Styela clava: one gene and its partner. The protein of the gene in region 1 purifies or fractionates together with the protein of each later gene. This does not show direct contact. Links are inferred from orthologs where the notes say so. Each region holds a gene or a part of one and is shown on either strand. Other genes may lie near its edges.

Region 1 (16,437 bases):
CGCATGAGGAGAGATGATAATATTAATATTGAGTTATGGTTTTAACTTTCATGAAGTTTGATATCCTCCTAACCAATTAGAATACTGATATACTTTCGTGAATATGAGGAATATTGAACTGGCTGTTGTTTTAGTATTTTTAATTACACATGCCTTTGCTTTGTACTCATTTTGTGTTCTTTTTATCTTGGAATTATGTTTAATTTTGCCACGTAATTTCAACATTGCTATATAATTATTTTTGTTAGTTTTACGAAATAATACGCCATAATATTCTATTCTATGTATATCGGCTGTAGGGATAGGCATTGCTAATTGGAGCTAAGATCTGAAGCCCGACCCAAAATTCGGGCCGGAAATGTCAATCATTACGTTCGAATCGGATCTGGCTTCTCAATCGCTGACTTTTTTTTTAAATGAGGCGTTTTGACCACGAAAGATCATGGTCTGCAAAAAACAGAAGTTACCTCATCAACATGACACATACTGTACAAAACTCTTGCAATGACTATTCAATGAACGCCTAAATTAAATATGAAATTTCAGGCTTGGGTTGCAAATCCAGTTAATTAGACGGGCTCGGGTCGGGTTTAATACCCACGGGCCTGGGTCGGGGCGGAATTTTTGGGCCCGATCTTACTTCTATAGCTAATTACTTAGTCACCGCACAAAGATGGAAAGAAAAGAAATTATGACGTCAGATTCATTTACAGAACTAATTGTGACACCAGGTGATATAAATGCTAACCCCTCCCTCAAAAAAAACATTTGTTTTTTTGTTTTTTTTCAACTTCATTTTGCGAGTTATTCTTGCTTTCCAGGTATTTCTGCATCTTGTTTTTCTGTTTATTTTTTGTGTTGTTCTCTTTTTTGTCAGAATACCGAAATAAAATGATGATGAGCCACCAGACCATAAAATTGTCAGGGTATTCCCCACTTCAGCTACATTGATGGCAATAACAGTTTGGGGAATATTTGAGGGGGCGTCGGTCGGTAGGTATAGGCGTATAGCCATGTGGGGTGAAGTGTTGGGCATTGAGAACTAATGGAATATATGATAAAGAACATTAGGTACAATAAATCAATTAGAATTAACACACATAAGGTTTATAATAATGAATAGTGTTACTTGATGACTGAATGTAACCTACAGTCCTACACTTCAACTGTAACTGGCTGACCGATGTGGTAACGTATGTTGTGCTGATGAAGATAGGATATGATGTACATACCGGTAGTTATCCTGGTTACCCATATAATTGAAAGGAAAGCGTTTTCAAGTCCATTGGCATCTAAGCAGATTGTTGCCATGCCAAAAACTAAATGACTGGAATTTCTAATGTAATTAGAGGTTGAAAATTAATAAAGACAAATTTCTTAGCATAAATATAAATGCTGAAAGGAGCAATCATAACATCGATTTGGCAAAATATAACTGGTTTCAAAACACTGATGATGAAAATACAATGACAAGACGCATCATTTTTAACAGCCACGCTATTTAGACACATTAAGGACGAAATGCTTAGGTTCCTACTGCTCACAGGAACAGTTTAACCAGAGCTATGCAATTATAACATTTAGGACTGTAACACAATTTGAAATGGTTGTTACATTTTCTGCTAAATTTGTTAATTCAATTTTTATCCCTGCTAACATTAATAATCGATTTTGTAGCTTGAAACTGAAATACCACACAATAGTTTGCAGAAATCTCTAACAGTCAAACTTCCTTTTCTTTTGGTTCCATTACAGAATTTTATGCAATAATGAAGTTGAGCACAAAAGGAAAATCATTGCAAGAGTTTGTTGAAACTGATATTAAAGCAATTGTTGTGGACATTGAAGGAACCACTACACCAATAACATTTGTCACTGAAGTCCTGTTCCCATACATCAAAGAAAACATAAAGACATACTTGACCAAAAACTGGAATGAAAAAGAACTCTTAGATGATTATGAAGCTCTAAGAGCTTTGGCAGAGTCTGATAGACAATCGGAAATTGAAGATGTACCTTTAATACCATCACATGATGAAAAAGGTGCTCAAGAATCTGTGGTGAAAAACATTTTGTGGCAAATGTCTAAAGACAGAAAGTCGACAGCCTTGAAACAGTTGCAAGGCCACATGTGGCAGTCTGCTTACGCAGATGGACTTATCAAGGGTGATGTTTATGAGGATGTGCCGAGTACTTTGAAATCCCTAAAGACTGACGGAAAATCGCTTTTTGTTTATTCTTCTGGAAGTATAAAGGCACAAAAACTACTTTTTGGACATAGCAATAGGGGTGACCTTTGCCCACTATTTAGTGGATATTTTGACACAAATGTTGGCGCGAAGAAAGAAGCGTCGAGTTACATTAAGATATCAGATTCAATAGGCGAGAACCCAGAAAATATTATATTCTTGACAGATGTCCTTGCTGAAGCAGAGGCAGCAACAACAGCTGAAATGAATGCTTGTATTGTGCTACGTCCAGGAAACTACCCCATCTTAAAAGATGATCTGGAAAGATTTACAACAATAAAATCGTTCTCTGAACTTGTATTCACAGAGGAAGATATTCCAGAAAAGCGTCAGAAAGTTGACGAGTCCCTCAAGAAATAAAACTACGGTACTTAGTAATCAGTGATTGGTATTCCTAAACCTTGGGAAGCATGTGTCTTTGCATATTCTTGGTAATGTTTTGCTGATCCCAGTATTGGACAGCAAAATACTACTGATTGGCGCATATTCCCTTTTAAGCTAATAATTAGCATGCAGGCATATTTTACATAAATCCCAACTTAAATAACATTTTATTTAGGAAATAATTGGTTTGTGCATTATGTGGTGAAATTCATAAAGTTAAAAAAATATTGAAAAGATCTGTTTATCATTAAATCAACCATCCATTGAAGGAGTCCAAGAAATTATCAAGTTGCTAGTTTGGGCTTAGCAGTTATAATACAAAACATATATCTCTCTCTGGAAATCTCTGATAAAGGAAAGATTTAGCTAGCTTGTGAACCTTTTGTTGCAAAATTCTGCCCAGTGTCGAGTATTGAAATTCTAAGCATAGAGTAATTCCCTTGAAAAAGAAATTTGGAATGTCTTCGGATCCAGGACCCTATGTATGATGTAATAATAATCCAGTAAAATGAACTGATTCCATTTGAAGAATGATGATCTTGCAGTGGTAGTGATTAGACAAGACCCAGCAGGATGGAAATATTTCATTTGCCAGATGGAGCCTTACTTCTTCATCTCAAGGCTGCGAGAATTCAGTACGCACCTTACCAACATTAGGAACATGTCTTTCATCCCATATTGAGATACCATCACACGTGCAAAATCGTTTGGAATTCTGGAACAGCCCTGATGACCTTGCTATTATTGCACATGCTACGCTGTAAATATAATTAGGTCAAGCGGTAAGTACTGAGTTGAAGCCAGATAAAAAAAATACATTAATTCGTACCCTTTACCAGAATTTCCATCAATCGATACAAAATCATCCTGATTTTCATGGATAACAATTGATCTTCCAATAATATCATGTACCTAAAATGAAGGATATGTTCTCTTACAAATGTTTGCTGTGTGAATTGAAATAAAGTAGGAAGATACCTTGAGAAATTTATCCGTAAACCTGAACTTCGCTCGTCCACCATCGTTAGCTTTTATATTTCCCAGGTCACCGACATGCTGAAAGGCCAAACAACATTAAATGACACATTAGAAACTATGGAAAGTGATAAAAACTTACCCTCTCTTTAGCGAGACGATCTCCGTGACGCTTGTTATCAGGATTATAATGTTCACCACACCTGTTGAAAACACAGTAACATGTGGAATTATACTTAGTTTCATTCTTACTCAATTAGGTATTATGTTATTCGCTAACTAGTGATAAAACAACTTTAAAGCTCATTTTTAAGCAGTTGTTAACACAATAGGGTTTGACATAGCCATTACTTGTGCCATTACAAAGCCTTACAAATTTTCGATTTGTTCATAACAATGTGCGCAGCCTTACAAATTTTCGATTTGTTCATAACAATGTGCGCAGTGGAAAAAGGGTTGGTCAGGGCCATAACCTGATATTTATACCCTGTGACGTTGACAACATGGATATAAAATTTACTTATCAAATTCAAATAGTATGCATCATTCCTAATGATATAACATATTACCCCTCGCATCCGTTAGACAAGTCTCCATAAGTGTGAACATTAAGTCCATGGTAACCTGGAGAGAGACCATCAACAATTCCATCAATTAAACAAAGGTTATTTGTCAGTTGTGCGAGCCTTACAATTCCTTTGACAGAATTTCCACGAATTTCTGCCACCGCAGCTCCCAAGGGTTCTAAATCTAAGTAGGTTAAATCATTCAATTATAACAATAGATAAAAAGTTGAAGCATGTGTTACATGAGTAAATCAATGATCCTGAATCTATCGACTGCTTTTTCCCAATAGTTGTAAACAGCATCCAATGATCTTGTGTAATAGAAAATATACATGTATAACCTTTTCCCATAGAAGATCCTATTCCTACCAATTCAGCTTGCATTCCTGTGCTCTCAATCAATTTTTGTACATCTTCGAAAGGCAGTGCTGTGTCAACAACTACCTAGTGAATAAATATAGTCACAAAAATGTGTCTTTTTATCAGCACTACTGTTTGTGAAAGGAGATTGTTGTTTGAATAAAATAGTTTAAAATTCATTTTGTAATTATTGTAGGCTACTATCAATTTTTAAACATGGACAATGCTCATGAAATAGGGAATGTTGAAACATAAACTTGAATTATTACAACTTGAAAACTGAATCCAAGATAACTTTCAGTCCAAATTCAATAGTGACTGTAACACTGTCTTAGTTTTAATAGAATATTTGAAATGCGGAAGCCCATAGAAATTTCGTGAAGAATATGACTAGGGAAATTACAGTAATGAAGCTGAAGACTGCAACATGCCCCATATCTGGTTATTTACACAGTAAGTCTTTATAAGGTTGTGTTGATTCAAACTTATAGTTATTTATATTCTCCTTGCTATAATTAGCCAACCTGCTGGATGTTGAGGTTTATCTTGGATCCGATTATTTTGGAGTTTCCAGAAAGCACTTTCTCTACCTTTTCCACGCAAGTGTTACAAGTCATTGAGACAACAAACTCGAGCTGAAATAAGAGCAGAATATGATTTTTAACCTAAAGGCAGAAGAGAGAGAAATGATGATGAGGAAGCGATACAGTAACCACTCTATGACAACAAGGATTTCAGGAATCTTCTGCAATTAATTTTTCCTTACATAATTCTAACCTGCGCAGAGTTATTAGTCTTTTAATGCACAAATAGCCCATCTGAATGAAATAAAATTTTGTTCTGTATTCATCTCCCTGAAATGAGGAATTTCAATAACATAATAGGTAATACCGTAATGAAATTTACCTTTGCGACAGAATCATGCTCCATTGTACCCCAGTGTTATTGATGATATTATTGTACCGCGATGAAGTGTTCTCGCCTCCTTTCTCACTAGAATGTGAACCAGAAATCGGTTCTGGTATTGCGCAACCAAAGGTCGTTGAGGCGTGTCGATACCTCATTTATTTATTTAACCATATTTACGATTTAACCGTAAATAATTACAACTGATGATTTAACATAAGTGCCTAAATATACGACCGAAAAGTAGTTAGATAAAATAAAACTTCGGGGCTTTTGAAATGAATGTATATCCGAGCATCGATTTTCTTGTTTATTTACACAACAATAACAAATCATCAATAAGTTCACAATGACGTGGGAATTTATCCCACTGTTCAGACACTTCTTCCGCTCAGATACCGGTCTTGTTTATTGTTTTGAACTAAAATGATAGTTTTAAACATGTGAACCAGTTTGAGAGCGCAAACTCTCTAAAACGCTCTCAAAATCATATTTAAAAATTTTGCGATGATAAAAGTATTTTCAAGGGCCGGGGAAACGTCCATTTGCCCGCATGTATATGGTTGTTTCCCCGACGCTTGATCCCAGAATAATCTTTCCTATACTCAACGATTAACATAACTTTACTATAGCAAAATTTTGGATGCCTATTTTGCAAACGTTTTGACACTTTTTGTTCTCATCGTTTTGACACGAAGAGTTGACACTTACAAACTGATTTACATACTCATTATTTTCACTAAAATATACAACAACGTGTCGCTTATACGTACTAGCTAGTTTAGGTAATATTTATTCTGAGGGAGGCGATACGACTGCTTATCTTAATCACATGTTTTTCACTATTTTGTGTATTTTTCTGTTGGTAGGTGGGCACGTAGTCTACTTGTACGTTTTTAACTTTATTCTATCTCTGCATTATTTTTAAATATGTGCTACAACAATATTCATTACATTAATTATCACTACAACATATATTCCCATTACCATCGTACATTTGTCTATTATGTTTTTTGTGTTGTTTATGTCAGTACCGAAATAAAATGATTGATTAAAAATTTCAATTGTTATGCATCGTTGACTTTTTTCTGGTTGGTCACCGTTACAGAAACAAGAAAGCTATGCTCAAATATATGGACACATCAGTTTTATTTCGGTCACTCTGAAAGAAAACAACAAACGGACAAACAAAATGCAGAGGATCTGGAGAACGGGCATAACTTAATAAAAAAGGTAAAACCGTACAAGTACGTGCCCGTCCACCAAAAACAGTCAAAAGATTTTAATAAAACAAAAACACGATGTAAAATCGGGCAATACCTTCTAATTCAATTTTAAAATGTGAGACGTGTACATGTATAACAACAATCTGCGCTCTGTTCCATCATCCACAACTAGATTCATAAAAGGATCGAAAGCTCGCAAAACACCTCTAACAGATCGTCCACAATTTAACCTCAAATCCAATCTTTTATCAATAAACTTCTTTAATTCCGGTGGTTGGGCTTTGATCATGTTGATATTACGCGATACAAATCCAACTGTAGATAACGAAACACACAGTGCGTAGCATTCTCTAGTCCAGGGTGGTTTAAACCCAGGCCCGCGGGCCACATATTAGCCGCGGCTTCATTATCTGTGGCCCGCGTCGCATTCGAAGAGTAATGAAAAAATCGCACTCCGTGTTGTTTCGTAATAAAATTAATCAGAAAATTTTTTTGATATGTTGTTACATAGTATATATTTACGGTTACATCACTAATGTCACTGAATTGACTAGTGTTATGGCCAGCTGAGGCAACTAGCGAAGTTGAATAATGTGCTTGGCAGTCTAAATTATTGTCTAGCTTTCCATCTTTTTGGTCGGGAATATATGCTAACAATATATGCATCATAGAAAACTAAAAATCGAACGCAGATTCTATTAGCCTGGGATGGCTATATGTCTAATAACTAAGTGTTTGCACAATAAAAGGGTTTGTTTTGCATTGCACTGTTTACCTATTTTTTATGCACTATTGTGGCCCGCAAACAATGCAAAAATAATTTTGTGGCCCGCGGAGCCGGCAACCTTGGACCACCCTGCTCTAGTGTTTTCAAGTATCCACGGCCGCACCCGACGACGGTCGGAACATCGTTGTATCTATTCAGTTAACCATGGTTGTATGTTAGCTTGCTCTCGAAACACGATTTGACCTCAAAGTTCAGGAAACAACAAAAGCGAAATTTTGATACGCCAGACTAATTCCCCCCCTCCCTCCAAGAGGCGATAGGCGGAATGACGAACTGTCTTCTCAACGTTGGGGAGAGCGGTTTGGTAGCGTGGCCGAGCGGTCTAAGGCGCTGGTTTAAGGCACCAGTCATTTCGATGGCGTGGGTTCGAATCCCACCGCTGCCAGTATTTTCGCAACACATTCTCGATAATCAACCCTTTGTCGGCGATCTGATATGACTGTTTTCGCTTTTTTCTTGTCAACACACTGACACACATGTTCAGATGTTACCGTGCTGTCCGACTGTTGGCGGTGTTTCCACGTGATCTTGTGAATTCAGGGCTGCCACTCTATGTTTTATATCAAGATCTAGATGTAAAATTTGGCGTCTAGATGTTTTTTTTCGACGTTCCGAATATTATCCAGTGAGAAATAAATAAAACGATGTGTATAGACTAATACGGTACCGTACTGTAATACAGTACCGGTACTGCAGTAATATGTGAATGAATATTATTTCATTAATTACAGACTTAGAAGTAAGTTAAATATATTGATGTAGACTATCATTAAATTGTATTCGTCTACCGGTACGGGTACGGTACCATATGTAATTAAATTATTCGAATAACGAATTAAACATGTTTAGAACATGTGACGTTTCAGTTACATAATTTAATAGAAAGGTGGACGTTGGTCCGATGAATCAATGTTTAGTATTGTATATTTGTATTGTTGCCAGGTGGTGAGAATAATTCGGTAGTTCAAGTTGCTCACTTCAGAATTTTAAAATGATAGCCTAAAGTTATTTAAATGCTATTGAATTTGCCTTTCTTTACTTTAAAGTGCTATGAACCATACAAAAATAAACTGAGAAAGAGCATAAAGCTGTAAAGACAGATTTACTGAATGTTGCATTTCTTATAAGTTGCTGATTTGGTTGTCAAAAAAATATGTACAGCAAAAACTCATAAAAACCCCTCTGAAGTGACAATATCAACAGATGTTAGCTTCTCCCACATCTAATCCTATGTAATATATTAAACTTTGGGTGCTCCCGAAGTATGCGAACCAAGATGGCGGACATCAGAACGTAACAGGTTAGGGTTAGGCGATAATTTTTTTCCAATTTTCCTTATTTTAGTCCTATTAAATTATCAGTTCGAAGACTAGCCAAGAGCCTCCCGTAGTATTTATACCTAAAATTATGGCCTAACCCTAACCTAGTACACATATTACATTCCGATGTCCGCCATCTTGGTTCGCATACTTCGGGAGCCCCAAACTTTGTATGCTCTTGTTTCGTCGATTTTCATCAAATTTAATGACTTCATCTAGATGTATTTTCTAGATGTTTTATTTTTCAATCTAGATGTTTTTCGAGGTCAATCTAAATGTTTTTAGTCAGACAAAAGTAGCAGCCCTACACATGATGCAGACCTCATTTTGTATCTGTGCCCAGTACGGGTAGTCCATGCTCAAGGCCGCTCAAAAGCACGGCGACGTTACCGTACGTTTGGATTTTCAGATTTTAAATATTGCTTTCAATATCTTATTTCATGCATTTTTTGTCACATACTGACAGACCTTCCAAAACTCTGTAACTGCTGAATTGTGTAACAATATACTGATATAAGGGCAAACAATCTTAATCTTGGTTTTGTGGTTAGAGTTTAAGATTAATCGTCAGATGACAGGATAATGGAAACCACCACAGAAGATGAAGTTGTGAAAGAGGTAGGTCTTACTCTTGGTGATATAATTAAAATTTCATGCAGGAAGCGCTTAATGCAGTTAATGGATGGATATTTCATTCATTCTGTCACCAATATATTTGGCTCAAGTTAGTCAACTGTCGAAATATCTATCATTCTAATTTTCTATGCATAGGCTTGATGAAATTTTGCAAAATTATGCACTATGTTACTCGACATATTATTGTAATTCAAATCTAAGTTCTTGTTGATTTTTCTGTACTTTCATTTCTTTTGGAAATGAACTATATTGGACCATAGGATCAATCTGTATATACAATGGACCCTAATAATGAATCTAAATTTATTGTTTCAGTTTGATGTCTATTTGTCCAAAAGCTTGTCTGGACGCCTTTACTTGCTGCAATATCCAGTGCAAAGTGTAAAACGAAAATATGGGTCTCAGGATCGAGATACGGCCAAAATCAAACCACAAAATAATAAAGTAAATTCACTGTTTAATTTTCCTTATCGTTGGCAGGTCTTTTATCAAAAATTTATGCTAACTTTGGTTAATAACCAGTCAGGTTATTCTGTTAAAATTATTAACTGGGTGTAATTTCATGTTAAGCTTGCTGATGTGCAAAGTCAAACTTGTTAATGGAGAAATGTTGATAGATATCTTTGTATGCCTTAGTTAGCTGCAATAGAACATCTAAAAAAAATTTCAAAACTGTCACATAAGGAGACACGTTCCTTTTTACTAATTGTTGTGAGCACCATATCTCACTTTGTTTTTTCCATTATCCAGATTGAAATGGATGTATCACTTGACATCAGCAGTCCAAACTATGACCAAAGCAAAGGAGAGCAGATTGCATTGAATGTTGATGGAAATGTCGGAACAATACAAGCATCAACCACATTCGATACAAATGTTATGGACAGACAGACGTTACAATCAAGCTGCGTGCCAGCGAGAGGAAAACGATATGTATCTGCTATTGTTCAACATGGTAAACCTAGTCTTTCTTGGTGAAAGTTACAGCCATGTTCTACTATCTTACTTTAAATATCTATTAAGAAATCAAATAAAAGATTAAGAAACCACTAAAATTACTTGACATTTTTATAGATGAGGTACATCTGACTCCAATATCTCATGTCATGCAACTTAAGCCAAGTTTTAAATATATGGATAGAGCGGAACATAGAGCATCACAAGCTGCAAAGGCCAAAGCTGCAGCCGAAGCAGGTAATAATGACTTTCATGTCTACATTTCCCACGGATATGCAGCAGTTAATGAACAAGGTCTAGGTCTTCTATCCTAAATAAATAAACATTGCTAGCCTGCTAAAATTATTTTAGTTATGTATGTATTAAACTTCATGTAAGTTTTTATATATTTTTTTTATTTCTTATGATGTTATTTTATTAAATGATAAGGATATATCTAATTTTCTTGGAAGATTCGTCCCAAGATGAGGCAGAAGAAGCTAAGGCTGTAACCGTTCGAGTGAAAGGAGCTGAATCAGAAGCAGTTCGATTGGCTCGAGAACGATCTTATGCTGCTTATGAAAAAAGAATTGCAGATGAAAAATGGATAGAAGTTAAAGTACACCATAAATTGGTGAGACAGTTACAAATATTGAGCACATGTGTTTTGAACATTATGTGGTATGGATGGTTTCCAATGAAATCAATTTTCTATTTATTAATTAAACTTTCCTGTTATTTGCATAATGGAGAGATTACAATTTTGAGTTATTGTGTATTTGCCCAAAGTTCAATACAACTCAAAAATATAGCTTCAAAACATTTCATGTGTTTCTTTAACCAAATTGCAATTTATCACAATATTGAGAGGGCTTAAATTTTTTTTTGACATAACAGGAAAATTCTCTTATCATAATGTGAAATCTTATTGCATATTTTTAAAGGACAGTTATGCAGAAAGAGAAAGACAGAGACTTATTTGCCAAAACACTAGACAACCTGACGATAAATTAAGCCCAGCTCTTACAGGTATAATTTATAATTTTGTTTTGAATGATTTGAAATTCTAAATTTTGCTGAGATTTGAATACAGCCTGACTCGGTATCGTATGTTTCTTTTTACAGCTTTCTCTGAAATGGTACAAACACCACATGAATACCTCACCAAACTAATTCCAGTATATGATGAACATTCAGTTGATAACAGTGCAATACCTGACAATGTTCTATCTTTATCTCTGTTGAAAAATGAAACATTAGGGGATCAACTGAAACTTCTAATGAAGAATGGTATGATTAGTATATGATGTATGGTTTAGTTTATCTTTTAATATTCATTATTTGGGGTTAGATATGTGAGGAAATTTTATGAAAAAAGAGCTTTTCGTTCAGATTATATTTTCAATTCAAAATTGTTATATTTTCATGTTGAAATTTCAACCCATTCATTATTCTTTCGAATGGGATTTTACAGATTCCCAATTTTTTCATGTTAAAATGCCAATCTCTATTATACCCATAGTGGTTGCAACAAGGGGTAATACCTTGATCATTTCACCAGATATATCGACGCATGAAATCCAAATTGGGCTAGGTCCATTTTTCTAGTTTTGAGAAAAACGCAAAAAACATTTTTTTTTTTGTTTCTTTTTTTTATTTCTCTAATACCTTACATCGAGGATGTCTAATTTTTATGGTCCACCAAAGTTACAATGAAGGCCATATTTAGATGGTATAAACAAATTTGTGCTCCGCCCCAATTTTTTTTTGGGGGGGGGGGGTTTGGACTTAACCCTTTTTGGCTCTCAATTTTCTGGACCAGAAACAATTTTATTGGACTTAGGGCCCCTTTATTATGTTATTATAGAGGCTGGTATGGACTTAGCGCTTTGTATTATATTTTTTGAGAGGAGCTATGTCCAAAAAACGGACTTAGCCCCCACTTACAATGCAGTTATCCAGAGCTAAGTCCACTATAGTAGACACAGCTCTGTTTAGTTCTCAAATGCCCTAAAAAAGCAGGGTTATGTCCATAGCTGTCTTGAGATCTAGAGCACCTAGAGATAAGGCAAATAGACCAAAATGTAGAGCTAAGTCCAGGAAAATCAGCAATTGAAAAATGTCATTTTTTGGAAAAGTGGACTTAGCACTGTTTGGTTTTGAGGTGTCGATATATGCTCATACTATATTGCCAACATGCTGATTTACTTTTCAGCCAAGATTCTTCACTTTTATCACCTGATATCTCTTCTACCTGAACCACCAGATGTCAGTATCATTGTCAGATCATTGCAATCATATGCTGTTCTGGTGAAGGGTTGCTGGGTTGTGAAGAGGTGAAATACAATTAACTGTGTATATTAAAAGCATTGACATAAACTTGACTAAGAGGTGCAAGCACTCGTCCTGACTCGTGTTTGTAACTCATAGATATTTGGGTAGGGGTGTAAGTATTTGCAATAGAAGATGAATTTTGCCATGCTAAAAGATATATTGCATATATATTGGAGCGGTTGGTACATAGAGATAAGCATTGAAAATATGCTTCACATCGAGTAGCTGACCACTCTGCATGTCTTTGATAAGGTATCGCAAGACTTTCCACTGTCATGTAACCTCTAGTCAATTGTCATCCTCTCTACCGTCCGTCTGGAATGAATGATCAACTGGTTAGCTATACTTTTTTTATTGCCGTTTTTTTTTTCACAGTGAGGTATTGTTTCCAGCTAACACTCTAAGCCCAATCTCAGGAACTCCATCAGAAAGTTTGTGCAAAAGTCGAGATTATATTTTGTACATGTTCACAAGGAAGGAGTTTTTAGTGAGTAGAACTCATGCTTGAATTATCTTTATTTTATGTGAATATGAAGCTCAGTGATTGTATCAATAATTCTATTGATCTACTGTTTTTTTTATCGGCATCTTATTGCTTTACTGCTTCGACAGATCCTGCTATTTGATTACATCCTTGACGCGATATTGGGCTTGTTCTGAACTATGGATTGACTAAAATTCGAATCTGTAACTGGCAGTGCTAGCATAGTTAGGCTGATGCACCCATCACTGCGACGCCATTTGTGGCACGCCATTCTTGCTTGTAGCATTGTCATGACTTGCATACATAAAGTTATCTTGTGTACAGGTCAGAAAAGAAATCACCAACACTGTGAAACTGCCTGGAGATGATGTGAAGGCAATTTTAGAAGACATTGCAGTAATGAGAATGGGTCATGGATGGCAACTAAGATTAAGACCTGATAATGACTTCATGGTATGATTATAGTTATATATTCATCTTCTTCCTGACTTTTACTTTTTTTATTTGTCAATATGTATTACCGGTACAAATTTTTCTTCTAGAGATTCACTAATTCTGGCGTGATTTTGATTATACGAACGGAACATTATGTGATTGAAGATAAATTATTTGCTCACTTGTGAGTTTTATGTTTCAGAATCGATTTCCTGATGTATGTGAGCGTCAGACAATGTTATGGAATGCACAAGGCGCCAAACTAGCAAAACAGTTAAATTTAACGGAACTTGTTGGAGATCTGAGTAAGTTTCCTGAACAATTTGGCAAATTTCTCTAGTTCTGCATGAGAGTGAAGCATTACTTTTGACTGCGATGTTAAAAACCCATTTTTCACAAAAATATGAATGGCATTCTTATATTTCTCAGATTCAGTCCACATCAAACAAGAAATTTCTTCACCTCCAAGAAGGAAAAAGAATGCTTCTTCATCAGAAGATGGTGTATCAAACAAAAAGAAAACTGTTTCTAAGCGTCAACGCAAATCATCTGGTCATAAAACAAGTCCTGCAAGATCCCATCAAGCTCCTAATGAGTCACCTAAAGTAAAATCTGTACCAATGTCTCCTAATTCTAAGAGGACATCTATCCAAGAAATGCCCAAATCGGTTGCATCTGTGAAAAAACTAGATCCTTCCCAGAATTCAAGCAATCTTACTTGTGTAAATACTATTTGCGAACAACCTTTCCATGGGTTGGATGGAGCAGCTGCCCTTGTAAATTCAGCTGTACCTATTGCTATGGGAGATATTGGAAAATTAAGCCCAAAAATCAACATAGCTGGGGTTAATTCTACAGTACAATCTGTCGCCACAGAGATGATTAAGAGAGGTTCTCCGCAGCAGAAAGTTCAATACTTCATACCTCAAATGAATATTTCATCGCCAACATATGACGCTGCTTTGGAATGCACCAATGGCCAATCTGCAGCAATGGAAGTTAATGAAGAACAATCCATTAACAATATTTCTAATATTAATATCGATCATGTGTCTTAGCGTTATTGCTCTGTTGGATCATTTATATTAAATTAGGAGCACAATATCCTGAATGTTTTTATTAGATAGTCCTTGAACAGCCAAGGTGATTTTTGGGGTTAATAATTCCACTATGCCAGGGGTGGGAAAAATTTTTGGTATAAGAGCCGCATGCAGCAAGTCAGAAATGTGTGAGAGCCGCACCATTTTTCAAAATTATTAGTATTAGAGCTCATCAAATTAATTTGCATTGTAACTATTTTGGGAGACGCGAAACTGGCGTTTGTTCTATTCAGTGGCGCAGCCAGGTGCAATTGCCTTCTGCTAAAATCGCCATTCGTTTCATCAACGCGGCATGTTATTTATGCCGTGAACGCCCTTTACATTGGCGTTTAGTCTCTTTAAATCACAAATTTGTGCCGCGGGAACAATGATAATTATTTTATTTTTGTACCCGCACGGAAATGTGAAAACTGGAAAAGCGTGCAATTGCCTTCTGCTAAAATCGCCCATGTTTTCATCAGCGTGTTATTTACGTCGGTTTTTATTCTTTCTAAATCATAAATTTGTGCCATGATAAACATGATAATTATTTTATTTTTGTACTTTGCACGGAATTGTGAATTCGTGAGTTATTGGACACGTAGTGGACATAACGATCGTTTCAATATTATGTTGTTGTTGTTCTTTGACACGATTTTAAAAAGTCGCTTTTCTCTTCGAATACTGGACCAATTGCTTTGAAATTTTCAGTGGTTAAAGATTAATTTTTTCGCTAGAAGGCTATTACTTTTGTTTATTCTCAAATTTTATATGAATCCTATGAGATATGATATTTCATACAAAATTTCGCGGTATTTATTTTTACTCATGGGAACACTGTTTTACACTTATTTCAAGCGGTTTCGCGATCGATTGTCTTGCTCAGTACTACAGCTACTGTAGGTCGGTACTGGTAAGTTGCCATACCGGTACCGTAACGCAGTGAAATTGACTTATTCCTTCCGCGGTATTACTAATGCTGCAATGCAAGTTTTATAGCCTATCGTATGCGGAACGGAATATCAGACCTACAGGTCCGGTACTGGTAGCTCAGTACGTAAGTACGATACTGGTACTGGTGCCGGTACCGGTGTCTTACCACAATGAAATTACCGTAACTTATTCTTTCACGGTCCTACCAGTGCAGTAATGCAAGCGTTGTAGCACTTGTAGCCTACTATATTTGTTTATTTTGATGAGAGTCTACTGGAAACAACATAAAATTTGAAAGGGAAGAATTGTTCTGTGATCAATTATCTGTCCTAAAGTGTAAACAACATAAAATTTGCAAGGGAACAACTGTTCTGTGATCAATTACCGTATATGGCCTACAGTGTACAGGTAAGATGCTGGCTGACTGCTAACCGGTACTGGTAGCTCAGTACGTAAGTACGATACTGGTACTGGTGCCGGTACCGGTGTCTTACCACAATGAAATTACCGTAACTTATTCTTTCACGGTCCTACCAGTGCAGTAATGCAAGCGTTGTAGCACTTGTAGCCTACTATATTTTTGTTTATTGGACACGTAGTGGACATAACGATCGTTTCAATATTATGTTGTTGTTGTTCTTGTTCTTGTTCTTGTTGTTCTTTGACACGTTTTTAAAAAGTCGCTTTTCTCTTCGAATACTGGACCAATTGCTTTGAAATTTTTAGTGGTTAAAGATAAAAATTTTCTCCAGAAGGCTATTACTTTTTTTTTCGCTATGACGTCATCAAAATTATGTTACTCTACGTGTCCATATATTTGAGCATAGC
Region 2 (16,606 bases), on another chromosome or scaffold:
AACAAGTAGTAAAGCACGCACAATTATAAATCAAAGTATGTATATTGAAATCAAAATATAGATTGATCTTTGACAACGCACCATTCATGATAACCAATGCTTAAATTTTTTTTGATCAGATTCACAAGATGTGCAGTACCAAATGTTATTCAAATATCCAATAAGCGACTCTTATTTATTCTGCACTACATTTTGTCTCAATGTCAATCAACAGATAGATATGTCATTGAGAGGTTTCATAACCAATAGCCTTATGTGCAAAAATAAATAGACAATACATTGAAACATTTAAATTAACAATCTCATATGAATACAGGATGAAAGGACCTGGTATTTCCTGCAAAAATAGCACGGAAATGAGTAATAATTGTAACAAAGAACTCATGTACTACCTAGTTATGTTGTAAGTATTGTCCAATTAATTAATACAATTCAAAAAAACAAAAAAATTTCTATCTGAAAATGAGTTTAATTAAACCAGAATTTCGAATTCTCAATAATTGGGAGGCAGTATATCAGACTTTCATTGGCTATAAGTGGTCTCAAAAGAAAAAAAATTGAATTGAAGGCTTGCATACCCCAAGCTTTTGTTCGATTTGGTTTCATGAAGTTCAGAGCTGAAGTAAAAATTTTCTTTAATCTGGAATTAGGCGAGATTCAAAAGTCAGTATTTATATGGCTCTCGGAATTTGAGGTCAGACGTAAATTTTTCCCATCCCTGATCCATATATTCAAAAATAGTTTGATTTAAATGATTTGAAATCCCACAAATATAACTCAATTCATGAAAAATATTTTCTGTGATACAACTTTATAAGTGAATTTGAAACAAGGCACATAATGAGATGTATAAGAAATAGATATCACCAATGAATAAGTCTAAAATAAAATTATGTTTGATGCTTCGTTATATGATTTAAATACAATATTTGTGACTGTAATTGATTATTATAGTGTTATGAAAACTGATGTATCATTCATGTTATGATGACAACGGTGGTTCATGTAACTGCTGGTCAGTTACAAGCTACAGTTTCCTCCAACATCAAGTCCATGCATCTGAAACAACTGGTTTAACTAATCCCATACCCGACAAGGACCAGAAACCAGACAAGAGCACTTGGTCGCCAGGTGTATTGACAATTGATAGCACAGCTGTGATATAATTTGCTATACAAAGGAGCATTTGTTGAAGTTTACGGTACAGTAGCTGTGCTTGCTAATATCCATGTTAATTTGTACATCTTGACAATTTAACCACAAGTTCAGAACCAGATCATTTGATAGCTAGGTTGTTAGGTGGATTTGCAATTAAAATACATCATTTGCCAATTTGCATTGCAATTTCAGCTTCTTAGAAAAATGTATTCAAATATTAAGATACCCACATACAAATAACTAATGTTAAAGATTAATCCCAGTGAAAAATTACATTCCTATTTACTAATAATGTCTGGAAAAACCTCTTCAACCATTTCACATAGTAAATTATAGAAAATATGTTTGTTCAATTTCTCATCTTGTAAGGCATGAAAAATCTTAAGAATGCCACGTCTCGCATTCTCTTGGCCAATTAAGCTTTGAAACGCTTCAGGGATATTCTGTAACAATTTAACTTGTGCCTCCAAAGCCGTTTGAGTTTTCTCTTCTTCAGATCTTGAGGATGTTAATTTTGGCTTTAGTTGTCCATCGGGCCACATCGAATCCATAAATAATTGAAGATAGTAAGTTAGCATTGGATCAGAAATAAGCCAATGTAAAGTATCTTTAATTTGTTTATTAATGGTTCCACCGAAAGCAAGCCTCACAAATATAACTAATGTTTTACGTAACGGACGAAACAATCCTTGAATTTCAAATATTTCTCCGACAAGTTCATACAACGGTTCAGCAATTGAATCTAAATCAATCACATCATCTGCATCTGTTTCATCGCTGTCAGAAAGATCGTCTTCGGATCGCAGAACCGACTCAAAAATATCTTTTGGTAATGTAAAAAGTAAATCACCAATTTGCCATAATGATTTTTTACGAGAAGTTTCACCGGTAGAAAAAAAGGGATTTGAAGTATTCCTGCGATGACTTTTTCCTCGTAGCAGAGAATCATTTTTAGATTGTTCTGGTGGTTGACTGAGAAAGGCATAAACTAATTCACTTCGACTTAGTATTTCATCTTCTAAAATATCTTTCAAATATTCGTTTAAAACTACCTTTGATTTATCAAGAAATTTATCCGATATACCACCAAACATAGGAATATTTGGTAAACGTTTCTTTTTTAACCAAGGTCGGAGATCACGAAGACTACGGTGCAATAATTTGAATTCATCAAGATTTCTTGCAACGACCCAACCAGAAACATCATCTGTAACTTCCAAAAGAGGGACACCAGAACACAATACAATTATACTGTAAACAGGGACTTTCGTCGCATTTTCATCATTAATAGGCAAAATAGCAACATTATCAATATTCGCACTCCAATTTCCCATTCGAGACCACCACGTTTCCGTTCTTTCGATGTGTAATTGTTGCTGCAATTTGTCCTTCTGTAAATCAGCGATATCTTGTTGCAATTGCTTCGTCAATTTCTGATCTTGCTTGCCACCAGGTTTGAGACTCTCCAAAGCTTGTGCTTTATATTCCAATTTTTCTTCAATGTTGCGGAGTTTTTCTATTGCTCCATCAGATGGTGACTTTCTATTTCCAAAAGCAGCTGTACGGTGCGAATAAGAATCGTCTTGCTCAGGTTGAAATATTGCATCCTCGGAAGTACTATCATCCCTTAATTGTGGCATCAATTGGTAGATGTAAAAATCGCTGACCAAAAAAGATGGAAAATGATCCTTTTCTAGTATTTTATAAATCTGTTCTTGGAGAGTGAAAAAGTCATCTGGAGCTTTATTACCCACAACACAAGTTTGCATGCCCTTTAGTAATGATTTCTCAATATCAATTCCTAATTCATCAGAAGTGCCTGGTACTACATAAGTTTGATAAATATGACTTATGATTTTAGCAAGGTTTTTACCAGTAGGTTCGGTATCACGGATAATTTCAACTTCACTCCAAAATTTTAACAACGACCCACGTCCAATTTTTTTCATGTATTTCATGAAATAGCTGCGAGCCATGGGAGATGCCATTACCTCAGAATAAGAAAGCAAATGAACGCTTGATGTAATGGCTGCCCCAGATGCCTCGTCTCCAAATTTAGGTTGATTTGAATTGCCATCTCCTCCTAGTGCTTTTATTCGTTTTTCGCACTGTTGTCTTGCGACTTGACACTGATTAATATAGCGTTTCAAGTCTCGAGATATCAGTAATTCTCCCTTTGCCATACTCTTCGCTTTCCCCAATTTTTTTTCGTTTTTTTTTAAACTGCTTATTGCAGTAGCATGCATGAGTTCTGTCATGATGTGACGTCTGATTTGATATAATTGATTAATATTATCAGTACTGCTAATTATTCGAATAAAATCTTCGTAAGTTGCGGCATACATATACGCTCGTGTTTTCTCCTCTTGCTCAGATTCTCTATGTTTGATATAAGCTAATATGCTTAGATTAATATAGTCAGGATCACAAATACTATCAATCATTGGCAAAAATACCAAACCAGCCAGAATTTCTCTCAAAATCAATTTTGAACTAGAATTTGACGATATATGAATGGGGAAACATAACTTTATAATATATCCACTAATACGGCGAAGAAATTCCTTTTCTGAGTTGGTATCATAGAGACAAGGGTGAAGACTAAAAAGTTCAGCATTCTTTCGTGAAGGATCTGATGCACTCAGTTCTTTAAAATATTGTACCAATGTTTTTACGAATCTATCCATCACTAGATGTGTTATGTCAACTTTGGAGAGATGTTTTGAAAAATATCGATACGCCTCCCAAAAGTCAGCCTTGACTAACTTATGCAAACGTCCATGATCATTGCTAACAGTGGCATACCATGTTTCCACAAAGTCTCGGAATGTGTATTCAAATATTCTATTCATAAGCATATCAACATTTTGTGAAACACAAACATAGGTTCCACTTTGTACACTGCTCCGATCAGGAATTTTACCAAGCATGGCTATTTTGGTTTGTATATGTCGAAGAGATGTACGAGGAGTCTCATGCATGCGGTAATGCATGTGAATACTTTTTGATAAGCCTTTCAAGAGAACAACAAAAAACTTTTTAATATGGAAAATGAATCCCTCACCAGTTGGTATATCATAATAAGTGCGATTCCGTAATATTCCATTCTGATTTTGCGACCACGGATATTTATCAACTGCATAGTCAACAGTTTTAATCGCAATATAGATTCCAGTCAATATACCAATCAATGCAGCAACAATCGCAGAAACCATATTGAAAACTTTAGAAGGGATTGCTGTGTCAAACATGTATACGATCCACAAGATTAACAAAATGAGAGTTAATTTCCTCCAATTAGAAAAAACAGTAAAAAATTTCAATTTCCGCAAGACATCCATTATTAATGTCTAATCAGTCTTTTTCTTTTCTACAACTTTTTCTGTGTAAGCGGCGTAAATAAAAAGTCCGAGAACAACATGAACCACTACAATTGAAGTTAAAGCAGATGGCACAATACTCGCATCTTCTGTGAGTTTGAAAAATCCTTCGAAAACCAAATTTTTTGCAATATAATATGATGATATTGGACCGGTCACCATAAGAAAAGTATAAAATAGCATTTGTATCACTGTTGAAGCTGGGACAGCACCTTGTTCTGCTTGTTTCACTGTTTCTTCATGTAGTTTTTTCTTTAAATATTCTTCTGAACTGGTATTTTCTGACATTTTATATCAGTATTTCATTTATGAATTAGCTGTTAATTATGAGTATTTTCTCTGGATCAGAATATAGGCATAGCTTATTTTGAATTGTAATCCAATCACATAACACTGTACGGTAACACTACAGCATTACTGCACTAAGAGAGAAAACAATCAAAACATAAAATACAGTACTGCAGTAATACCAGGGACCCTTCAGAACCGCTGTACCTACCCAACTTGTAGACGAGTCTGCCAGTGCTGTAGTGTAGTGACACAGTGATACCGGTACGATTGCTTGCAAATGCAGAAATGTTTGAATGTAATTAGCTATAGGTAGTACTATATTTACCTTTCTAATGCGAAACTGTTCGTTCATCACATCACTAAAACACATGATTGAAAACATTGACTCGTCTTCGTAGGTTAGCGAAATACTAAGAACGATAAACCCTAAGTGACTATAACCCTTGGATAACCCCAACCTCTAAATCTAAATGATTGACTTGCATCTTGTCTCATGCGACACAACAGACAGACAGACTGACAGTGACAGGTCAAAATTTATTCAATCAGGAATAGCGGACTTGCACGGTTCACGTGACTTTGTTTACGCCGCCATTTTGGACGGCAAAAAATAAATAAAAACGTCCAGACCTCGCTCCTGTCAGTTGCAAGTCGCGTTGATTAATGACATAATAAATGACAAATCAGGCATAGGGCAGATCTCCAAATGTTTAAATTCAAACTGTGAGTATTTCAACTTACAATGTATGTGTGGATTCAAACAAAATATTTTAGATGTGGAAAATCACGGGACTTGCCATTTTAATATCAGCAAGACTACAAGAAGATTTATCTAAATTGTGATCCAACAGGCGGAGTCTCAAAAAGGTCGTGTCCCACTAGTCCCACGTGTCTCCCTTGTCCCACTTGTACCACGTGTTCCACTTGTCCCACGTGCCCCACTCATCCCACGTGTCGCACTTGTACCACGTGTCCAACTTGTCCCAATTGCCTCACGTGTCTTACATGTCCCACTTGTCCAACTTGTCACATGTGACAAGGGGGGTCAATGAGTCATGCACTAGGTGACTAGGGTGTCCATTTGACTTGTGTAAGAAATTAATCATCAGTTGTCATAAAGTATTATGCCCGATACATTGGTACATTTTTAATTCGTGGTACTAGAAAAAAGTAGTTCCCGGCATTCTTATTGTATGCTAGTTTCTAGATTGTTCAGAGAGGGAGATTTGTTGTCACTAAAACAAAGTTAACGCTATACTGTATAAACATAAGCCAATAAAGGAAATAATTCAACAGTGATTGATTATTGTTTTGTGCGGATCGGTTTGTAGGACTGATAATGGTGATCTGGGCTCCCGATCCATGCGTATAAGTTGTATGAAAGCTATCATGATGGCATGGTATAGTACAAGGTGGTCCGAACCCAGGCCCGCGGGCCACATGTGGCCCGCCGCTTCATTATCTGTAGCCCGCGTCACATTCGGAGAGTAATCGATAAATCGCATTTCGTGTTGTTTCGTAATTAAATTAATCAGAAAAATCTTTTGACATCCTGTTACATCACTAGTGTCAATGAATTTACTAGTGTTATGGCTAGCTGAGGCAACTAGCGAAGTTGAATGATGTGCTTGGCAATCTAAATTATTATCTGGCTTTCTATCTTTTTGGTCGGGAATATATGCTAACAATATAGGCATCATAGAGAACTAAAAATCGAATGCGGATTCTATTAGCCTGGGATGGCTATGTCTGATAACTATGTGTTTGCACAATAAAAGTGTTTGTTTTGTATTGCACTGTTCAACTATTCTTGGCACTATTGTGGCCCGTGAACAATGAAAAAATAAATTTGTGGCCCGCGGAGCCGACAACCTAGGACCACCCTGGTATAGTAAATGATGGCAGACAGTAAATCGTTCATATAACATAAGGATTAGAATTTACATATTTATCCCGAAGTAGAGCAAGGTCTATGAAGCGGCTCCTATTGCGAGCACCAGTCACCAGTGCATGTCGGGTATGCGATCAGTTCGCCAGTTATTTGTTTCAGATGCATGGACTTGATGATGGAAGAAGCTTTTACCGACTAGCGGTTACGTGAACAACCCTGAGGCGGGTAGGAGTCCAGTAACCTTCTTGCACATAATTATCTTCCGGGATTCGAACGTGCGAACACAGGCAGATTAATCATACTTGAGGTGACGAACGCATGCCTAGCGCTTAGAACGATGAGCCTTGTGGGATGGGACTCTGCCTTTGATGTGGCCCATTTTTGAGATGTTCTCCCCATTTTGAACATATTGTTTCCGACCATTTACATATGATGAGATCAGATAAAATGCTTCCCCGCGAATTCCGCAATGATATAGACTTTCTAATAGAATATAATGATTTACTGTGTCGAAAGCTTTCTCAAGGTTTAAAAAAAACAGATGTGTTCAATAAGAGAAAAAACTGCCGACTTGAAATTCAAGATTTTAATAAAATTTAAAACGAGTCGAAACTAGTCGTGTCGGATTTTCCCAGAATTTCAACATACAGTAGTTGTTTGAATGTGTGTCCATTTATTGATGATAGCTTTATGTTTCTCTGATTCCCTCAGGTCTATAAGAAAAATTATATATTTTTTTCTATAACAACAAAAACTGTATTATATGATGGTTGGATAAATAATAAAACTTCTCTTTCAACACGTCGATGCTTTGTATTCCAAATTGACCAACTGATTCCTCGTGACATAAAGAGAAAATCTGGCAAGCATGCTGAGGAATCAACGTCCCGTTTGTTTTGAAAATCCAAAGATATTTCGGCTAACCTTGTCAACGTTCTCTGACGCTCGAGGTTTGCTATCTGTTTTTTGTAGCGTTATCTGTCCAGTATCGACATGGAAAAGCCACAAATAATAAGTCATATCGAGAAATCGCTAGACTTCACGTTATTTGACTGCAAATGGATACCCAGGAGTGCAAGGTTTGTTGTTCTCGGAAGTTATCCGCGCGGTACTGGTGCAATTTTGGTGTATGAAATATCCCATAGAGAAATCAAGAAAATTAATGACAAAGAAACACCAGCCTCTATGAAATGTGGAACGTTTGCTGCATCGTCATTACAGGTATGTCATATACTGATATAGGTTCTGACTTTGCGAACATTTGTACTGTATGGTACCGTAACGTCTGAACGTAGGTACGGTACCTGCAGACACAGAGACATGAACTGGCAAAAAATTCCCGGTTTTTATTATCTTTTTTTCACCGAATGGTATAGGCCTACCTAAAATCCTTTGTTATATGGTAGGCCTACCACTCTTTTGACAAACTTCAAAGAATACTAGACAGATACGAAGGCATGATCTTTTGTATCACATGATTTAATAATGTTTTACTTGTGAAATTTGTTGAGGAATAGTCATGTTTGACTCCCTCTCTATCATAGCATATGACATGAAATTGCAAAATATTTCAAAAATTTTAAATCACTTTTCAGTCACGGAATCTAGCAACTGGGGACTTTAGAGGGCACCTGACAGTATGGGATATTGAGACTATGCAGGATGTATATTCAGTACCAGCACATAATCAAATCATTAATGCAATTGATGGTGTAGGAGGATTGGGTGTTGGAGAAGGTGCACCAGAAATTGTCACTGGAAGCCGTGATGGTTGTGTAAAAGTGTGGGACGTTCGCCAGAAAAATGTTCCTGTGGCCAACATGGAGCCGGAAGAAGGGCAGGAGACGAGAGATTGCTGGACTGTTGCTTTCGGAAATGCTTTCAATTCAGAAGATAGATGTGTATGTGCGGGATATGATAATGGTGATATCAAATTATTTGATTTGAAAACAATGTCTATTCGTTGGGAGACTAATTTATCAAATGGGGTTTGTGCAGTTGAATTTGATCGGAAGGACATAGCTATGAACAAATTAGTTGCAGCTTCACTTGAAGGAAAGTTCCAAGTTTTTGATTTACGAACACAGCATCGTACTAAGGGTTTTGCTTCGCTTACTGAGAAAGCACACAAGTCTACTGTGTGGCTGTGCAAACATTTACCGCAAAACCGAGACGTGTTTGTGACAACTGGAGGTGCTGGGTCATTAAATCTATGGAAATATGAATATCCTCCCAAGAGATGTAAAACAGAAGACAATGAACAAGTCGGTGTTGTTGGTAATGTTCAGCTACTGCAGAATGCAATGCTTTCAACGCAACCTATTTGTGGATTTGACTGGAGTCCAGATAAATTAGGCCTAGGAGTTTGTACAGCTTTTGATCAATCACTGAGGGTAATTATAACCACAAAGCTAAACTCTTTGTAGTATCTGTGCACTTCACATGCTTTTTTACTGGGATAGATTTTTAAACAGTGCCCATCCTGCATCCTTGGCTTTCAATATTGAGATGAATATATAATACAAACCCAACTTTTTGATTTATTGAAGCTCTCAATTTCATTGTATGTTTGCAGTTGAAGAGAGCAATATAGAATATTTTCGTTTCAAGTAGTTTCCTTTATACTTAAATATTGACCTTTTTGTACAGTAATCCAAAATTAAAGTATTTGTATAACAACTAATTACTCTGTAGACCAGAGGTGGGCAAGCTACGGCCCGCGGGCCAAATCCGGCTTGTTGGGTAATTCAATCTGGCCCGCCTCATGCTGCCGCAATCAAACTAAAACCATATCTTGATGTTTCAGCTAAAAATAGCTCAAGGAATTTGTTGAGGTTGCGATTACATTTAGTTTTGGAACAAGGCCTATTGTTTTCCACTTTTGCTTCTGTAACACTGTAAATATTGTGCATAAAATGTAACATTTTACGTCACACTTACATGGCCCACCAGTCTAGATGGCTGAAATTTTTGGCCCCATGGTCTAAAAACCTTTCCCACCCCAGCTGTAGACGATGGTTTTTTCATATAGAAGTTGCCAAAATTGGATTTAGAATGTTTGTTATTCTTTGTCTCCTTACTGTGATTAGTTATTGTATGTTCCACACAGAAAATATGCCTTTGTGCTCACTGTTTGTATTTGGACGAATATTATTTTCTGTAATCTGTACATACTTTCCTAATGATTTGTTCTATTGTTTTTACACACCTATGTAGTATATTTTTCATAAGATACTTATCATTGATGAGTTGGGGTGGACAAGTGAGATCAGTGACTTAGCTTAGTTGAATTAGGCCTACTGCCCTACTCGTAGGATAATGAATACAGGTGCCAACATGTTTTATAATTTATTTTGTGGCTAGGAATACTATATTTGATAACTACAATCATGTTGCGAGCAGTTGACTATGGTCATCCCTCATATTGACTCATACGTGAGAACAGAAATCCAGTGATTGTTCACTCCTGGGCAGTAAGTAATACGCTGTTTATTTTTCATGTTGCTGAGAACGCACAAAAAATATGCGAATCGAGGTTTCAAAAAGATAGTAAATGATTAGGAATCAGAGATGCCGTCAGTGCGATCTAACAATACAATGTTAAAAAAAATTTGAACTTCATTCCTGATTTAAAACAATGGATGTTTTCCTTGACCCCAGAAAAATATTACCTATACTTTAATTTGCAAAATTTTGGATGCTCATATTGAAAGTATTTTCGATAACTGGCACTTACAAACTGATTTACATGCTGAAACCATCATTTTTCAATATAAAATGCGACCTCGTGCCTCTTACAGGTACCGGTACTGCTAGCTAATTTTCGAATATTGCAACTAAACATAAAGCTCATCGGAACACACCATGACAATTAAATTACTACATTCCCAACTAATTTTTGGAAACACAACCGGGAAACTGACAAATAACAGGCGAAAACGAGACAATGTTTATTATAACCATGCTTGAATATCTGTCGGCGCAAACGGAGTGTCTGCAAAAATTGCAATTGTTGCGTCCTCGTTGATTTTTTTGCTAATTGGCCATTTTTAAAGAAATCGATGCTCGGGGAAGCATCCATAGGATCTGAATTTCAGTGTAAAGTGAACAAAACCTGACACTTTCAAAAAGAAGGAAAATTATGGAACGTAGGGTACCTTGAATTCTCACTATAAAACTGCCATACCGGGTGATTTGAAGCGAAGTAGAAACAAGTCTTTGCTCATTTGATTATATCGAGCCTGATCCGTAGCCTATTATTGTCGATCGTCACCGGTTACTGAGTTAGCCTTTTTCGACAGAGACCACACAAACCCCCCCGATCATGTCTATATCAGAAAGGTATTCGACGGGCGTTTTATTCGCATATGGCATTCATTGGGGCCATATGATATATATCTAATCACAGTGGCGGCGCGCCAATAGGGCCAACCGGGGCAATGCCCCGGTTGTTTTTTCGGTATAATAAAGAAATATTCGAAAAATACCTCAATATCGGTTGCACAGACTGTCTACACTAGCCATATTCTCCCGACATGGTTCATTTTTCGCTCGCAAAGCCTTCGCCGAACGTCGACGGGGTGACGTCGATTTTGCCCCGGTTGCTCATTGTATATCGTATTCTCTCTTTTATCTTCCACTCGCCGCGTTTGCCTCGTTTGTTTTCTGTTTCTTTTACTAAATCAACGGGGCCGATCGGGGCTAGCCCCGAAATTATGACGACACAATGCCGACGTTTCTTACAACAACGTGTTGACATATTCACGCATTCCTTCTCGTTCGTTGGTTGCTTGAAGAGTTGATAGTTTCCTCGCCTTCGTTTTTGTCGCTTGTTTCGCTATTTGAATCAGTTAGAGACCTTCAGTCCATTTGCTTTCGATTTTCCACATTCCTTTTGAGCTCCTCACTTCTTTCCGGCTTCGCATTTCTTAGCCTTAGACCTCAAAATGAATAAGGTTGATGCACTACTTCGCACTCCGTTTTCGCAGCTGCCGCTGGAACAAAAATTAGAGGTACAACGTCTTGGGCCTTATCAACCAAAAAATTGTTCACTGGAACAATCCCATGACGGAGGAAAGCGTCGGCGTACATTCTGCGCAGAAACTTGGTATAAAAAACACGAATGGTTGTGTTACAGCAAGGACAAAAATGCACTTTTTTGTTTTTATTGCCTACTTTTTGCTACCGCCCGTGACTCACGTTGGTGTAAATTTGGTTTTAGAGATCTTAAACATCTTTTCGAGCGTGCCAGGGATCATCAATCTTCTATGGAGCATCTGGACAATGCAGTAAAATACCGAACATTCGGAAATGTTAATATTGCAGCACAGTTGGATGAAGGACGCGCGGTTTCTATGCGTCGGCACAACCAAAACGTCGAGAAAAACCGCCATGTTCTCGGTCGATTGATAGATGTTTTGAAGTTCATTGGTTGTCACGAGCTGTCCCTCCGTGGGCACGATGAACGGGCTGGCTCTTCTAATAGAGGGGTATTTTTGGATATGGTGGAATACACCGCATCCCTAGATACAGTATTGAGAGATCATCTTGATGCCGCAACTGTTTCAAAAGGGACATCTAAGGATATCCAAAATGATTTGCTCGACTCAATGTATAAAATTTATTTACAACATTTGGCTCTGGAAATTGAGAATTGCCAGTTCCTTTCGATTCAGTCTGACGAGACAACTGACATCACGTGCGTTTCCCAACTGGCTGTGATTTTTCGGTTTGTGAAAGATGGTAAACCTACCGAGAGATTTCACAGCTTTGTACCAATCGTTGATCGCACGGCTTGCGGGATATCGGCTGTACTGAAAGAAGTGTTACAGCCTCACAACGCGAAGTCAAAATTGATAGCTCAAACTTATGACGGCGCGGCAGTCATGAGTGGGTTGAAACAAACATGGTGTTCAAGTTTATATAAAAGAAGATTTTCCTCATGCGCATTTTTTACATTCTTATGCACACCAATTTAACCTCGTTATTAAAAATATGTGTCTTGATACCCCTCTCGTCCGTATATTTTTTGCAAATGTTTCGGGGTTTTCTTCATTTTTTTTTCGTTTCGCCGAAGCGCTCTGACCTCCTTCGCCATCAATGTAGCCACCGTCTCCCAGCTTGTGCACCAACACGTTGGAACTTCCAATCACGCGTGGTGCAGGGCGTGTCCGAAATTAGGTCTGAGCTCATTGAGTGTTTCAATAGCATTCAGAGCTCTCCGGTTTGGGACGAACGCTCTGTGAGGGAGGCGGCAGGTCTAAAGCGTCTGCTAGAAGATGGTGAGTTTTCATTTTTTCTCCACAATATTCTATCACGTGGATGTATTATACGGCGCATTGCAGTCAAGGCTAATGGATGGAGCGTCTGTGCAGTCGTGTATTTCAGATTTCTGCGATGCTGTATCTCGTATCCGGGAAACAATAAAATACGACGACACATGGAGTGCTTCTTTACGCCGCGGGCAAACAACGCAGCGTTTGATTTTGTCTGCAAAGGAATGCTGTGACATTCTGGTGAATCAAATAGGCGATCGTCTGCGCACTGAACACCTTGCCGCGTTCTCTTTGATGAACCCCAAAAATTTTTCAAAATTTGCACGTCAATTTCCCATCCATTTGTTGGCTACTGTCTCCAAATTTTACCCCATGATAAACGTGGGTAAATTGGAAAATGAATTGCGATGTATATACACCAATCAAACTTTTTTGAACATCACATCAACTTGCGCGCTCTATGGGTTCCTCATAGATAACACTCTAGTAACTAACTACCTTTGCGGCGTCTGCAAAATTTCTGGACATCATTTTGACGACGCCTATTTCTTCCGCCGACGCAGAGCGAACATTCAGCACGCTGAAGCGTATTAAAACGTATTTCAGAAACACAATGAAGCAAGATAGATTAAATTCCTTGGCTGTTTTATCCATTCACAGAGACGTTATATCTGGGATGCATGACTTTAATCATCGCGTTAGGATAGGATAGGATTTACATATTTATCCCGGGGGAGAGGAAAGCCGATAAGACGGCTTATCCATATGGCGAACCACGGCCTCTCGCCCGGTTACCATTCCGAGTCGGGTATGGGATTAGTTATATATTGTTTGTTTCCGGAAGCATGGACTTGGTGGTGGAGGAAGCCGTAACCGACCAGCGGTTACGTGAACCACCCAACGACGGCGAGGAGTCCAGCAATCCTCTCGCACATAACCATCCCTGCATGGGATTCGAACCTGCGAACCCACGCAGAGTAATTAGAGGTGCGGTGGCGAGCGTATTCCTAACGCTTAGCCCGTTGAGCCACATCGCCGCGCCGAGCATTTTGCTTCCAAGAAACCAACCGCGGCGTGTTGCATATATGTTCAAGCAGTAGAAGTCTAGCAGCATATATATCTATGAGTGAGCGACGCATGTCCTTATCTTTGCATTACCTTTCTTCACATTTTCACATTTCCTTTCTTCATAGTAACGTTTTAAACCCTATTTTAGGTTTTGTCTGCTTTCCCGAAGTTTCTGTTAATAAGTCATTGTATTTATCTGGGTAAATATTGCCTTTCCTTTTGAAAGAGGTTTCAAAATAAACTCTGTCTATATTTATCAATCCCTTGATTTGGACCGGTTTTAAAGACACTTTCTTATCGTTAAGAATTGTCGCTTTTGCCGATTGGTTGTTACCGATGGAATGGTTTTTATACTCATAAAATGATGGGAGAACTTACAGCGCTCATCCTGTCCCCTTAGATGGGGGTGACTTGGTCCCGCAGTAGCTTGCCCCGGTTGTCAAAATGACCACGCGCCGCCACTGTCTAATCATATGCCAGGCCTAACTTATATAGCCTCATCTATGCGTTTTCTCAAAATTTAGCAACAATCTTCATCTTAAGTCTCAACCCTCCGTGCCCCGAGTCTTTGACAAAAAAATACAAATATATCGAGTTCCATTAGTAAACCGTATTCAATTGGTGAACAGGAATATATGCGCTTTATCTACATCAGTGGTCGGCAAACTTTATGTACTTGCGGGCCAAATATACACATTTCCGGCAGCGCGCGGACCGCAATATTTCCGCCTTCGAACAATCGCTACATTAAACTTCAAATTATGGCGCACTCGCACATTCGCTGTGTTAAAAGCATGCAACAATGAGTTGTGTATGTGGCCTTTTATATAATCTTATCAAACAATACATCGTTTTTATTTACTTATTATCTATGTGACGGATGATGTTTTTATGGCAACTTGGTTGCCGTCGTCCAAATGACGATCTGACAAGCCAGTACGAAATTTATAAGTGTAATGCATTTTAGATAAAGCAATATGACTTCCGAACTTGCAGATTACACGTTTTGCACTGTCGCACAAATAAGCTGTGGCGTAGTCCCGGGGTCGAATTTTCGATGGCACGTTATGTAACGAGTTAAATCCCTTGATATCCTCGATGCTGACCGGGCATATAGAGCAAAGTAGTTTTGGAATGAGCAAAAAAGAAAAAAAATTCGCGTCTAAGCACTTTGGAATGTTCGACCCTCGTCCAAAATTTCCTCCGTTTCCAAGACATTTTAAAATTTTAAAAATCAAAATTATCTTGAACCACATATTACTGACGCTACTTATTACAAAACAAGCGCCGTACTGCTGCACTTGTCACTACATAAATCCTTCTAGAGACAATAATAAATTTAGGATCAATTTTTGTTATATTTATTGAATGTTAGGTCGTTGGGGGGCCGCAACAAATTAGCTCGCGGGCGGCAGTTTGCCGATCCCTGATCTACATGCTAAACAAATTATTTCAGGCGCAGACCTTGTTTGTACGTGTGTGCTGGAGGACGTACGAACAACAAAAGAATGTCTTTCATTTCACGAGTACCAGCATAAACAGGGCCGGTTTATCAAGTGCCATAAAAATCCCCTTTACATTTGGTCTTCGTTAGGCAATAATTGATAGAATAACAAATAAAAACCATCAACCTCATTTATGGAAAATATACAGGTGAATGGTATTTCATATCCTGATTGATCAATTTTATAAATAGCCTGATAGGATTTTTCACATTCATAGTTCAACAGTCAACTTAATAATAGTGGTAGCAATGATTTTTATACTCAGTATTTGAATGACTTATATGACGAATTTTTCGTTACACCCCTGTTTGTTTGTCTTTAAACATATTCTTCAGTGTCCTTAGCTGGAAAAAAAAACAGTTATTAATTTGAGAAGGAATAGGGAACCGAAATTATAACCGCTCTCTAATCTTGTGAATAATTTAATAAAAGTGTCCGTTTAGTAACTGATATAACTGAGTAACTAATTCAAATAAAATATTTGCTTGTTTGGAACACCGTATTTATATATATATATATATTCGCGCAAAAATTTGAAAAGGCCTGAGTGAATGATTTTTCAATTTGAAGAGATTAGAAATTCTTTGATAGATTCAATGATATCATCAGCAATAATGTTGTTCCATTCATACATCTGTGTTAACGAAGGACACAGACATGTCGCAATCTACCCGTCTGTCTATCCACAAATATATACATATATGTTTCATTTGATCGAAAATGTATATCACCTGTAGTGCGCAAAGCATCAGTATAAGTCCCACTGAGACAGCAGAAAAATTATTGATCATATTCAAGTTGGACGTAGTTGTTGAATAATCATATTTCAAGGTTGATCTTGAACTCAACATGGCTGATCGCATGTAATCTATTCTTCTTGAAATGACGAAAAGATCATCCTGCATTGATACAGATGAATGTTTGTTATATTTTCTTCCAATATTAGATAATTAATACTTAACTTATACTACAATAGAAGGAAGCCAATAGTAGGCATAGCCATAACCCGAAAGTCGAACCACGACTTGTTGACCCTTA

The links.
Region 2: the proteins of DNA-directed RNA polymerase III subunit RPC5-like (region 1) and dynein axonemal assembly factor 10-like purify together in Homo sapiens (affinity purification with mass spectrometry; 3 studies listed by BioGRID and IntAct, with this or other methods). This does not show direct contact. The link is inferred for Styela clava from reciprocal best matches to the Homo sapiens genes POLR3E and DNAAF10.

The regions. Positions count from the first base shown.
Region 1 is NC_135260.1:20,667,925-20,684,361, forward strand, and holds DNA-directed RNA polymerase III subunit RPC5-like, read left to right. Parts: upstream 1-8,869; 5' UTR 8,870-9,354; coding exon 9,355-9,390; intron 9,391-9,723; coding exon 9,724-9,852; intron 9,853-10,158; coding exon 10,159-10,363; intron 10,364-10,482; coding exon 10,483-10,602; intron 10,603-10,817; coding exon 10,818-10,978; intron 10,979-11,288; coding exon 11,289-11,373; intron 11,374-11,469; coding exon 11,470-11,634; intron 11,635-12,559; coding exon 12,560-12,680; intron 12,681-13,053; coding exon 13,054-13,165; intron 13,166-13,486; coding exon 13,487-13,615; intron 13,616-13,799; coding exon 13,800-13,902; intron 13,903-14,026; coding exon 14,027-14,655; 3' UTR 14,656-14,701; downstream 14,702-16,437. Other genes in the region: enolase-phosphatase E1-like, read left to right, coding at 674-731, 1,756-2,609; copper chaperone for superoxide dismutase-like, read right to left, coding at 3,250-3,391, 3,463-3,545, 3,612-3,689, 3,751-3,811, 4,178-4,358, 4,516-4,618, 5,059-5,169, 5,441-5,464. UniProt on the Homo sapiens protein: DNA-dependent RNA polymerase catalyzes the transcription of DNA into RNA using the four ribonucleoside triphosphates as substrates.
Region 2 is NC_135262.1:8,036,657-8,053,262, forward strand, and holds dynein axonemal assembly factor 10-like, read left to right. Parts: upstream 1-7,562; 5' UTR 7,563-7,713; coding exon 7,714-7,941; intron 7,942-8,315; coding exon 8,316-9,146; 3' UTR 9,147-9,952; downstream 9,953-16,606. Other genes in the region: sorting nexin-25-like, read right to left, coding at 1,437-4,499; vacuolar ATPase assembly integral membrane protein VMA21-like, read right to left, coding at 4,509-4,826; transmembrane emp24 domain-containing protein 5-like, read right to left, coding at 15,865-15,912, 16,300-16,467. UniProt on the Homo sapiens protein: Key assembly factor specifically required for the stability of axonemal dynein heavy chains in cytoplasm.